Drosophila melanogaster: one gene and its partners. The protein of the gene in region 1 purifies or fractionates together with the protein of each later gene. This does not show direct contact. Each region holds a gene or a part of one and is shown on either strand. Other genes may lie near its edges. The genes, in order: vret, fs(1)Yb and armi.

Evidence for each region.
Region 2: the proteins of vret (region 1) and fs(1)Yb purify together in Drosophila melanogaster (affinity purification with western blotting, with the first as the bait; 2 studies listed by BioGRID). This does not show direct contact.
Region 3: the proteins of vret (region 1) and armi purify together in Drosophila melanogaster (affinity purification with western blotting; 3 studies listed by BioGRID). This does not show direct contact.

What each region holds. Positions count from the first base shown.
Region 1 is NT_033777.3:22,743,504-22,747,253, reverse strand, and holds the start of vret (vreteno), read left to right. Parts: upstream 1-1,672; 5' UTR 1,673-1,729; coding exon 1,730-2,040; intron 2,041-2,103; coding exon 2,104-2,514; intron 2,515-2,579; coding exon 2,580-3,396; intron 3,397-3,458; coding exon 3,459-3,643; intron 3,644-3,699; coding exon 3,700-3,750. Other genes in the region: CG17141 (uncharacterized protein), read left to right, coding at 1-754; HP1c (heterochromatin protein 1c), read right to left, coding at 824-1,537. UniProt on the Drosophila melanogaster protein: Gonad-specific protein essential for germline development to repress transposable elements and preventing their mobilization, which is essential for the germline integrity.
Region 2 is NC_004354.4:2,718,695-2,722,444, forward strand, and holds the start of fs(1)Yb (female sterile (1) Yb), read left to right. Parts: upstream 1-1,773; 5' UTR 1,774-1,873; coding exon 1,874-2,155; intron 2,156-2,214; coding exon 2,215-3,750. Other genes in the region: CG2701 (uncharacterized protein), read right to left, coding at 1-56, 119-397, 471-1,073, 1,133-1,293, 1,365-1,481.
Region 3 is NT_037436.4:3,459,329-3,463,078, reverse strand, and holds the start of armi (armitage), read right to left. Parts: upstream 1,763-3,750; 5' UTR 1,617-1,762; intron 1,539-1,616; 5' UTR 1,505-1,538; coding exon of another isoform or gene 1,409-1,504; intron 976-1,408; exon of another isoform or gene 959-975; coding exon of another isoform or gene 776-958; 5' UTR 739-775; coding exon 295-738; intron 218-294; coding exon 1-217. Other genes in the region: CG46463 (uncharacterized protein), read right to left, coding at 776-958, 1,409-1,504; eIF5B (eukaryotic translation initiation factor 5B), read left to right, coding at 2,837-2,907, 2,981-3,750. UniProt on the Drosophila melanogaster protein: Probable RNA helicase required for axial polarization of the oocyte during early and mid oogenesis. Plays a central role in RNA interference (RNAi) process, a process that mediates mRNA destruction of translational repression.

The DNA of each region.
Region 1 (3,750 bases):
TATTCTGGTGCTGAACAAAGTCGATCTGCTGGGCGCCAAACAGCAGAAGAGCGTGCTCCAGCAGCTGAGGAGACAGCAGCCCGAACTGCAGCACATCCTGTTCACCAACTGCAAGGATCAGCGCAACAACGGCGTGCTGGACATCCTGCCCCTGGCAACGCGCCTCGTGAGCGAGAGCAGTCGCTTCAATCGCACCCAAGCTGCCGAGCACAATCTGATGATCATCGGCGTGCCCAATGTGGGCAAGAGTTCCGTGATCAATGTGCTGCGAAATGTGCATCTCAAGAAGAAGAGCGCCGCACGCGTGGGTGCCGAGGCGGGTATAACTCGATCCGTCGGCGAACGCATCAAAATCCAAGAGAATCCGCCTGTTTACATGATCGACACACCCGGCATCCTCCAGCCCTCCATTAAGGATGATGAAATGGGCATGAAACTGGCCCTGGTGGGCTGCCTTCCCGATCATATTGTGGGCGAGGATCTGATAGCCGACTATCTGCTGTACTGGCTGAATAGCCACCGCAAATACGACTACGTGGAGATGCTAAAGCTCAGCTCCGGACCCAGTGACGACATCAGCGCCGTGCTGGCGGAGTACGCTCATCGGGAGGAGCTATTCCACAAGGTCAAGCAGTACGACGGACGCGTGGAGGTGATGACAAATTTATTGGCGGCCGCGCGAAAGTTCATTCACTTCTTTCGCTCCGGCCAGTTGGGTCACATGAATCTGGACGAACCCAGTGGTTTCAGATAGCTATACATATGTATGAATTAAACTTAGGGGCTTAGATTAAAGACTGAACAGTCGATTCTGCTCGCGTCCTTATTGATTTTCCGCCATGGGCACATCGATGGCAATGTCGCCAACGCCGGGCACGGGAATCGAGTACGAAACACTAGCCAAATCGTCGGTATCATTGGCTAGATCCATGGGTGCATGGTGCTGCGGCGCCTGGTCCACCTGTGGCGCGATTCCACCAAGATGTCCAGCCAACTCAGCGGACTGATCCACCTCCGGCGGCACTTCGACGGGCGCACTGCTAATGTGCGGATAACTGGTGCGCGAGGCCGCCAAACGCAGCTCCTCCGGCACGCCCTTCATTCGCATCGCAATGTGACGGGAGTAAGGTGCCATCTTCTGGAAATAGTCAATCAGCATTTGCGGATCCTTCTCCACGATCTGTGCCGATGGCACCAAGTCGAACTCGTCGCAGAACTGCCAGCGCACCAGATACTTGATGTCGCCCGTCACATCCGTTGCGCCCACGATCTCGGCCAGCTCCAAGCCGCGCTCGTAGCCGCGCAGCTTCTGGATCTCTTCGCACTTGGGTTTCTTCTCGCCGCGCTTCTTGGACTTGGCGCGCGACTCCTCGAATTTCTGGATGAGATTCGGGCAATCGCAGTTCTCCTCGGGCTCCCAGGTGTTGTCCGCCGACGTGTAGCCACGCCACTTGATGTAGTACTCAACCTTGCCTTCGCTGGTAATGCGCTTGTCCATGATGCGCTCCACCACGAAGTTGGGCTCGTTTTTAACCATTTTTTATTGTGTTTTTACAAGATTGTTTACAATATTTAAAATCGGCTTGGTTTTTTTCACTAGTGCCAGTGTGACCGTTTGCTGACTTCAACAACAGTTACAATAGCAACATACTTCTGACAGCATAGAAAACGGTCACACTCGCACGCGCTTGCAATTCGAATTCAGGTGAAATTTTAAAGCTCAGGTGCAATGGAATCCGAATCCTCGCAGGATGATTGGTCCGCATTCGATCCAATGTCCAGGGAATACTATGACCAAGTGGGCAACCGTTACACTAACGAGTCTGGCCAGAAACTAATCATGGAAGCCCCGCTGCCGCCAAAGGACGAAAAGGAGCAACGTGCCACCAGGCAGGCGAAGTATCCATACTTGGTGGTTCCAAAAAGCAGTCCCTATGTGACCGAAAAGATGCTAATCAACTTCTTCGGTCGGGCGCTCATCAAGGAGATGGAGTTCCGCCGCTTGTCACGCGTATACTTTGTCTACTTTGAAAATATCGCGTGAGTTTCTTCAAGCACTTTCGCAGGTCATTCAATATTTCGAGCGTATAATCCTTTTTCCAGATCCCTGGAGACAGCGCAACAGCGGGTGCAGCGTTACCCGAACCTGATCAAGTGCATCACTGGTCGCCCGCAAAAGGAGCGGGAAATCACCAGCGATCCGGTGACTTCCACTGAGCCAATGCCAACACCAGGCCCAGCAATTTCGGCCACTGAACGTACGCCAGTGAATCACAACAGAGAGGTTCCGATCTCGACCGGAGGACAAAATCATCCGGAGTTCTTCCGGCCACCGCTGGTCACCAAAGATGATTACAAAAGAGGTTCATTGTTGGCCACCAACGACCCCATTCAACGCTATCTCAATGTAAAGTACGAATTCGCACTGGAGCGCCATGATATCTACAAGCTTAAGGATGAGACCAGAATCCCGCAGGTCGTTCTGCACTTTCGTTCGGGCAGAACGATTCCTTTGTTAGTATAGCCACCTGGTCACGTGCCCTTGATTAGCTAACGAGTATAGTTTCTGCATCACTCAGGTCAACGGTTGCTGTCACCGAAGAGGATAAAACTAAAAGCCTGCTGGAAGACGGCGTCAGCAAGTGCGTGGTTTGTCAAAACTGGACAGACACTTTCTGCAAGCTGTGCAAAATGCCCTTCTGCAATGCCTCCTGTTTCGCCGATGTGGCAGAGCAGCATAAGCAAGCTTGCGGCAAGGGTGAGATACTTAACCTTGACGAAAAGGTGGGCCGGAAGTACCCCAAACCCGGCTTGCCGCCGTCTGGATCTAAAGTGAGAATTACTGCATTCGAGCAGACTAACGTGGTCTATGTGCGCTCGGCGGACATTCAGATTGACATCGCCTATTATACAGTTCTCACGGAGGTAATGATGCTGGGCAAAGATGCCTCCAAACTGCAGAGTACGCCAGTCTGCGGACAAATTGTGCTCTACAAGTTCGAGGGACATATGTCGCGCGCCATGGTGCTAAACGTGGATAATATCAAGGAAATCTATGTAGTGTTCATTGATTTCGGAAGTGTTGAAGTCACGCAGCTGGAAAGACTGTATGAATGCAGTTCGTATTTAGCTGGTTTGACCTGCTATCCCGTAGCCGTTAAATTACGCGGAGTTCCCAGGCGCTTTGTGGGTCCCAACATAAGGGAAGTCATGTACGAACTCGACCAGTCCCTAGTTTTTAATATCAAGTACTCGTCACGTGAGTACGATACCAGCAAGGGCATGCAGGTCGTGGTGATGACCGAGATCGATATTAATAGGAGCCTCAACCGCCTTTTCAAGACCATCCTAACTCCTGTTGAGCCGTCTGTCTCGGACTTGGGATACAAAGAGGACGTAAGCCAGAACTTAAAAAAACATCAAGTACACAGTTGTCATTTGCATTTATTCGGTTTCAGTGTCTTCCATACATTCCCTTGCACTGCGGAAAGAACATAAATGTAGTGGTAATGGACAACACATTCATCCAGTGCGGCTTTATCTACTGCACCTCCATAGATCTGGCTTACGAAGTCACCAAAATGCAGCGAGACATACAGGAGTATGGTGAAAAGATTGCCAAGTGCGCAACCTACGCACCGCCGTAAAGTTACTCGCCGTTTTCTTTTGTCCATTTAACTAAAGCGCTCTTTCATTTAGGATAAATGAGCTTTGCATAGCTAAGTACGAAGGCAAATGGCGTCGAGGTCT
Region 2 (3,750 bases), on another chromosome or scaffold:
AGCTGGCCAGTGCCTTCTGATAACCGGACACCACGAAGTCCACCTCGTAGTTCTTGCTAGCGATGCAGAGATTGCGAATAAGAATAACATTGGCCACTAAGCAAGGCAGACAACTCACATATTTGGGCAACGTTGGATCAGCAGCTTCATGTCGTGCTCCAGCGGAAACTGCCGCTGGTAGTCCACAACGAAGTTCTGGGCGGAAAGGCACTCCTGCATCACTTCCACCAGCTGCTGTCCCCGTCCCGACTCCATCTGCAGGCTGACCACGCGACGAACGATGAAGATATATTGCTGGCGCGTCTCATTTAGCCAGCGCAGCGAACTCGCACCCGGGTTCACCAAGTAGATGTTCTTGTACAACATGGGCACAGTCATGTCATAGAAATTGGCAATGCTGCGAATACGAAAGGGAAGGCAATAGAATCACACAGACCACGGATGCTGATGATGATGATGATGATAATAACCTTGGGGCCAAACGCAGCTGTTCGATGGTTTCCAATAGCTGGGGACAGAGGAGCAGCAGCAGGCGCAGCGTGTATGCGCAGTCCATGGCGAAGAGCACCACATCGTCGTAGGGCGTCTCCAAGTCGACGTCCAGAGACGCCCCGCCGCCAGCACCTTCGCAGCCCTCGTTCTCCACCTGGATCTGCATGCTGAGGAAAGCGCTCTCGTAGAAGATCAGCGCCTCCTTCAGATCCTTTTGGTACTCCGGCTGCACTTCCAGCACCTTGTCGAAGATCTGGCGCAACAGTTCCACGTTCTCCGGCTCCGCATCGCCAACAGCGATGAGCAGATCAAAGAGCAGTGGCACAGAGATCAGGTAGTTGCTGTACAGCAGGCTGCCGTGTTGCTTCGGGCTAATCCACTCCGAGTCCGATTCCTTACCGGTGCACAGTCGCATTATCAGACGCACGACGAGATCGAGCAGCTGTCCGTACAGCAGATGGGCCTGGTCCAACTCCTTGTCCCGGCTGACATCTGTCTGTCTGTAGTAGGGATTAGCGCGCTGCAGGAATGTGACAACGGCCGCCATGGCCGATTCATCGTACACCATGTAGGACCAGAATCTGGCGGGGATCAAGTGTTAATGTCTTCGGTATACTGAGCGCAACACGATGTAGCTTACTCGTGCTGCGTCAGGCTCAGCAGGAACTCCATGTCCCCACGGAAATTGTTCGCCGCGAAGGTCCATTCCTCCAGTGCAGCTCCGGATTTTAGGCGTCCATAGGAGCTCAACATGCACAAATAGCTGGCAAAGGGCTTCTCGCGCTGCACCCAGTGCTCGTCCTGTCCACAAAAAAAAAAAACACATATGCATAGTACTATCTCGCCGGAGGTGCACCAACATGTCCACTTACCAGCGCCGGAACGTTCCTGCGCACCCCATCCTTGCCGGAAAGTGCAAACTTGAGTTCGTCCAGTGGCAGATTCTGTGGGTTGCAGTTGTTGTTGTTGCTGGTGTCGTTGTCCAGCATGTCGGCCCCCCCTTTGGCTGGCAACACTCTCGAATTGTTGCTAGGGTATTTCTTCAATAACAAAATTCAATAAAACTAGCGAATTTCGTGCGATGCAAGGTGGCAGCACATTGATAAGGTGGCGCACGCAGGCTCAGCTTGTAATGTCATAAGGTGCGTGAACAAGAGTTGCCAGACGATCAGAGTGGTTCGATGATTATCGATATTGAGTAGTAATCGAACTTGAAGCTTAAGTGTCGAAAGAATTCAGTTGGTTTAAAATTTTCAAACCAAAAGGAGTTTCTCTCTGCTCAAGTGGAAGGCGATAAAAAAGCCATTAGTACGCGATTTGTTTATTTACTTGGCAAAGCGCTGCACGTGACCTTGCTAGCCGTACATATATTAGGCGCAGCATGGAGCCAATTGGAGATCTGCAAGTGCCCAGCTTCAAGGTGGTGTCCGGGGGAACCACCTTCACGTACGCCAGTCCGAAATCCGGAGCAGCCTCCCTCGACTTTCTCGCGCACACCCTGCGGAAAAGGGAGGCGAACACAGAAAAAACTATTCTGATATGTCAGCAGAATTTCGAGGCCGAGCGTCTGAAATTTGAGCTCGCCGAGCGGGATGTCAACACTATTCTCCTGCCCCCGCATGGGGCAATGGTCGGTCAAGTGCTGCTCCTCTGGTCCAAGGGGGTGAGTTTGAATCGGATCACTAACATTACATCAGCGGAGGTTATTTATCCTCTTTCCAGTACATCAACCAAGCTCTAATTCTCTGCGATGGCATGCTCGAGCATCTTGGAGTAGTCGAGGCGAACCTGGTGATCCACACAACGCTGCCGGAACTGAACAAGTTCGAGGAGCGTTTGAAGTGGCTGAGCATATCGGCGAGAAACGCCGAGATGTTGGTCATAACTCCGTGCGACGAAGAGAATGAAAAAGAAGGCAAGGGAGAGACCGAACCGGAGATCGTCCAGCAAAGAATGCCACTCAAAGTAGATGCCCTAAATTCCATGCAGCTTTATGAAATAAAGGAGAATACGCCGCCGACATCATCGGAGGATTACAAGGCGGAGGCGGATGTCCTGCTAAGTGCTGCAACTCCAGCGACAATCCCAAACGACAATAAGGAGCAAGAGATAAATTTAAGCGTGGAGGATGCTACAGTAAAGCTCCTGGCTTCTTTTGAGTTGGGCAGCACTGATTCGGCGGCAGTGGACGAATCCTCTCCAGCTGCTGCTAAGTTCAATGCTCCTGTCTACTCTCCTTTCGTTACTGAAAATCCAACGAAGTCTTTGGACGCCGAGTTTCAAGAGCTCGTAAAGTCGTTTAAGGTGCAAAACGTATTCAAAAACATGAACTTGCCGCCTCCTCCCTCTGTTAGCATTGAAGAACCGGTGTCCAGTGCCTCCGCTTCTGATTATCGACATCAGATCGACACCACTTCGCTGGATTCCATTCGAACTGTGAAGGATTCACCTGCCTCTCTAGCAGTGGTTCCCTTTTCTGCAGGGGGAATAACTTACAACAACTATGGCGTTCTCGGCTGGAGTCGCCACGCGGTCGTGCCGTGCTACGGTTTGACCGAAGCGCCGGACATAAGCACCATCATCAGGCGGGCCATGCAGCAGATGGGTGTGGCTAGGTCGCGAGCGCGGGCGGTCCAGAGATTCGCCTGGCCACATGTCTCGTTGGGTAAATCCGTTTTAGTTGTGGGCAACTTACAGATCGGGAAGACGTGGTCCTACCTGCCCACCGTGTGCCAGCGCAGCCACGAGGATCTGCAGCGACGGCCAGATGTTGGCCGTGGACCTACCTGCATCTTTGTGTGTCCCAACCAGGGGCAGGGCAAACAGATCGAACGCTGGATGAGCACGTTGCTCTGTTTGCTGGGCAGTGCGTCGGGGTTTGAGGATGTCGTTACCCACTGGGACAAGACCCAATTGGTGGACATCGTTCGCCGGCTCAAAAAGCCCGTTGGAATCCTGCTAACCAGCGTGGACTTGTTGCTCCAACTGCTGAACCATAACCCGGTCGGGAGCATTTTCGATGCCCAGGCGGTGAAGTGCATAGCCTTGGATAACCTGAACGACATGGTTCGTGTCCTGCCAAACGACACGATGAAGCTGCTGCAACGATTGCCCGAAATGTTCCAGCTCACCCAAAATAAGTGCCAACTGCTCGTCTCCGGCCGCATTTGGCACACCGATCTAATGGTGCAGCACATTCTGCCTCTGATGCCCGACGTCCTCGTTCTCTTCGACGACGCCTTGGAGGCGAGTGTCTAT
Region 3 (3,750 bases), on another chromosome or scaffold:
CATCCAGCTGAATGTTGCACTCTAGGCGCACTCGATCTCCATTCGTTGGGATGAAGTTCATCTCGATATTGTCTAGCTCGACGGTCAGCTGTCCGTATTCCGTTTCGACGTCTATGGAAGATGCCAGACGCTGGCTAATCAGACCCAAAACGCTCCTTGTTTCGGTGTTAAAGAATGTCGGCTTTTCGTTCTTCAGGTTGTCTACAGCTTTTTCAATCTAATAGAAGTTAGGATTACAGATATTAAGCATTGGCTTTAACAAATGGCTAATAAATCTAATACCGATGAGCTTACCTCCTTTTGGCTTGTGTCCTCCCAGGAATGCTCAAGGATACTCTTCACCTTGACCACCCGCATGGCTTCCCCCGTTGTAAAAGTCAAATATTCCACTACACATCCGACGTGTAGATCCAAGATGATATCCTCTGCCACCTTCGTTTCGAATAAAACGTCTTTGTCGATGACTCCCCGATCGCCGTCTAGACTGGTGATCACTCCCTTTCTGGCGGTGCAGGAACTTTCTTTACTCACGTCCATTTCCGAAAGTCCATGCGTAAGCTCAGCGATCTTGTTACTTAAAACCCCATTAATTTCGTTTGGATTCGCCTTAAGCTGTTGATCCATCTTCTCCTCCATTAGTTTTTGGTCTAAAAAGCTATTCTCCCGATCCAAACTTTCCAGAATATCCTCCCGGTTACGATCCGGGTTCGTGAAAAACTTGCTAACGTATGTGAACATTTTTGAAAATGTTTCGCCGATAAATGCTCTGCCGTTCCTACTGCGCTGCTTTCTTGTCGAGACTCTCGTACATCCAGTCGGTTTCGCTGAGATAGCTCAATTCCTTGCGCAGATTCTGCAGACGCTTCAAGTGGTTCTCCGTCGTCTCCGCCGCCTTCCCGCCCTCGGTGGTTTCGCTCTGCGATTCCGCCTTGTCAGCTCCGATCTCGGGTTTCTTAGCCTGGAAATGTGGACCATCTGTATTGTAAACATTTGAGAACATACAATGTTACCTTCTATGACACCGAAGGCTTAAATATCCTACAATTTTCATTTAACAACATTTTGTTGTTTTACTTCTACGGACAATTTTTGAAATATTTAGAGAATATTTATTTATAAATTTAAATGTATTTATAAGAGCATATATAAAATAAAAAAATTAACATTTGTATACATTTTCTGTATGTTTTGTAACGGAAAATTAAAAACTTTGTGTTAGGGTTCTTGAATTCAATAGTGATTTGTTTTTTAGTCTAGGCTGTTAAAATAACTGCAAAAAAGCAACAGTTTGAATGGAGAAAAAGCAAACGAAAGTCTCAAGAAAAGCGACAGCAACAGTTACTCCTGCACTGCTTTCGTCTCCTTCTACCACGCCAAAACAAGGATGGCAACAACAACAAACTCATACCTCTGTTTCACTGGATTCAACGGGAATATTGGTGGCCGTACCGCTTGTAGATGCTTCTTCTTTGATGGTTATACTTCCGGATGCTTCGCTGGACATTGTCCAATCACGCGGATTTACCTTGGTTATCAAGCTGTGGACCAAATATGTGAGTTCCTTACCGGCTTTTTGCAAATGCACAGCCGGATTTGCTATTTGTACTCGTACTTACAAATATTCTTAACGCTGTTGAATTAGTAGATGCACTGCACTTTGAGTTTTAAGAGTTCAATGGGAAATAGTCATAGTATTCGAAAAAACTCTCGAGCAAAATTTTGAGCACAAAGCGTCTTGGCGAACTTTTAAGTGTGACCGGACTTAGCGGCGTAGAAAATATCCTTGGCTGTGGTATTTTCTTAAAGTGTGTCAAATTAAAGCGGTGGAATATGAAACGTGAGGAAGTTGCTTATGTATTTATATTTTCCTTATTTAAAAAAAGTTCTCAAAAATAAAATGAAACAAAAATGTAAAGTAAAGAACTCAAGAAAGTATATAAAATATCGGCAGTCCACATTTAAGTTTTTGTTTTTGGAATTTACCTCCTCACAAAAATAATACACACGAAGAACTTGTTCTTATTCTTTTATCTTTTTTTCAAGAGTACCTGTTAGTTATCTGTCACTTACATTTAAGAAATAAGCAATCAAATTCCAAAATATGCCAAATATCTTTCCGCAATCCGGAAAGTTTTTCGAGTATATGTGTAAAAAAGTCCATAGATGGTTTCTTTCTCCATAAATACCCTAGTGATCGATATTATTTAAGAGTATGTTCAATACTTTTCGCAGTTGAAATAATTTACCAATTAGGAAAACCAATAAAACCAACTGCCCTATGTCTGATGAGTAAGAAACTGAGCACCAGAGGCGATAAATGGTTCCCGTAAACAGCGCACGCCAGCGCCGAGGCCGCGATTCTATTGAAAAAGGTGTATATATATTTAATATATCTTTATGTACAACTATAGACTCAAAACAAAAATACCCCGCTCAACTGGATATTACAGGGTATAATCGATAACCTTAGCTCAGCCATTGTGATTTTCAGCAATCCACTCGCACGGTCACACTGCCTGTCCAACCCTCCCGCACCGTACTACTCGACAACGTGCTTGTGTGCAGAATTTCCTCGGCTAAATAAAACCAAAAATTGGCAAAGCGCCGTGTCAGATCTAGCCGTCGATTGCACAATTCCGGAGCAGGACGTCGTCGCTGGAGCCACCGAAGCGGAGTCACCATCAGAAGATCACCAGCACCAGGAGAACCCAGTGGACAGTCCTCCTCTTTTTCTTGGCTGCCGAGGCGTCGCGTGTGCGTATCTTTCAGCGGTGAATAACCCACGGCTTTTTGTTTTCGGCCAGAGGAGGAGCGTGTTGCAGTCGCAAACGGGAAGATGGTTAAAGCTAAAAAGGGCAAGAAAGAGATACTGACCAAGGTCGAAGGCGGTTCCTCGGTGGACGAAATGTGAGTCTTGTGCAAGTTCATGCCCACCTGCCAACTTGGCAAACTTTCTATCGCAAATTATTCAATCTTACAGCTCCGATGTGGACAGCGACCAGTTGAGCCTCAACAACAAGCAGAATCATGCCCTGAAGGGCAATCAAGCTGGCGATGACGATGTTAAAGCCGTGACCAAGGGGGTCAAGAAGCTTAATGTCAAGGGAAAAGGCAAAGCAGGCAAAAATGACGACTCCGATGAGGAGGAGGTGGTGCCCGCCAAGGGCAAAGCTTCTAAGAAGTCGGCTTTTGAGCTGCTAATGGACGACGACGAGCAGGACGAGCCAGCTGCCCAGGAAAGCCAGTCTGAGAAGGAGGAAAAGGTAGTGGTCTCCAAGCCACAGAAGAACGAAAAGAAGGGCAAAAAGGCCAAACGCAAGGGGAAGGACGACGACGATGAAGATCTGGACAAGGTTTTAGCTGAGCTTCAAGCGGAATACGCCGGCGAGGCTGCTCCTGCTGCCACTACTGTTGTTTCCCCCGAAGAATTGGCCGATGAGTTCTCCAAGAAAAAAAAGAACAAGAAGCAGGCCAAGCAGGCTGCAGTGGCAGAAAACGCCGGAGAGGATGAGGCCAGCGATGACGAGGAGGGCGGCAGCACTGTGAAGTCGGCAGCCCAGAAAAAGAAGGAAAAGAAGGAGCGCCAAAAGAGGGAGGCTGCCCTAGCCAAGCAAAAGGCAGCTACTGAACCCAAACCGAAGCCCGTGGAGAAACCTGCGCCAGAACCCGAGCCTGTGGCTACGGAAGAAGTCCAGCCCGCCGCCGAGGAAGAGGAGGAAAAGTCCAGCAAAAACAAGAAGAAGGGCAAGA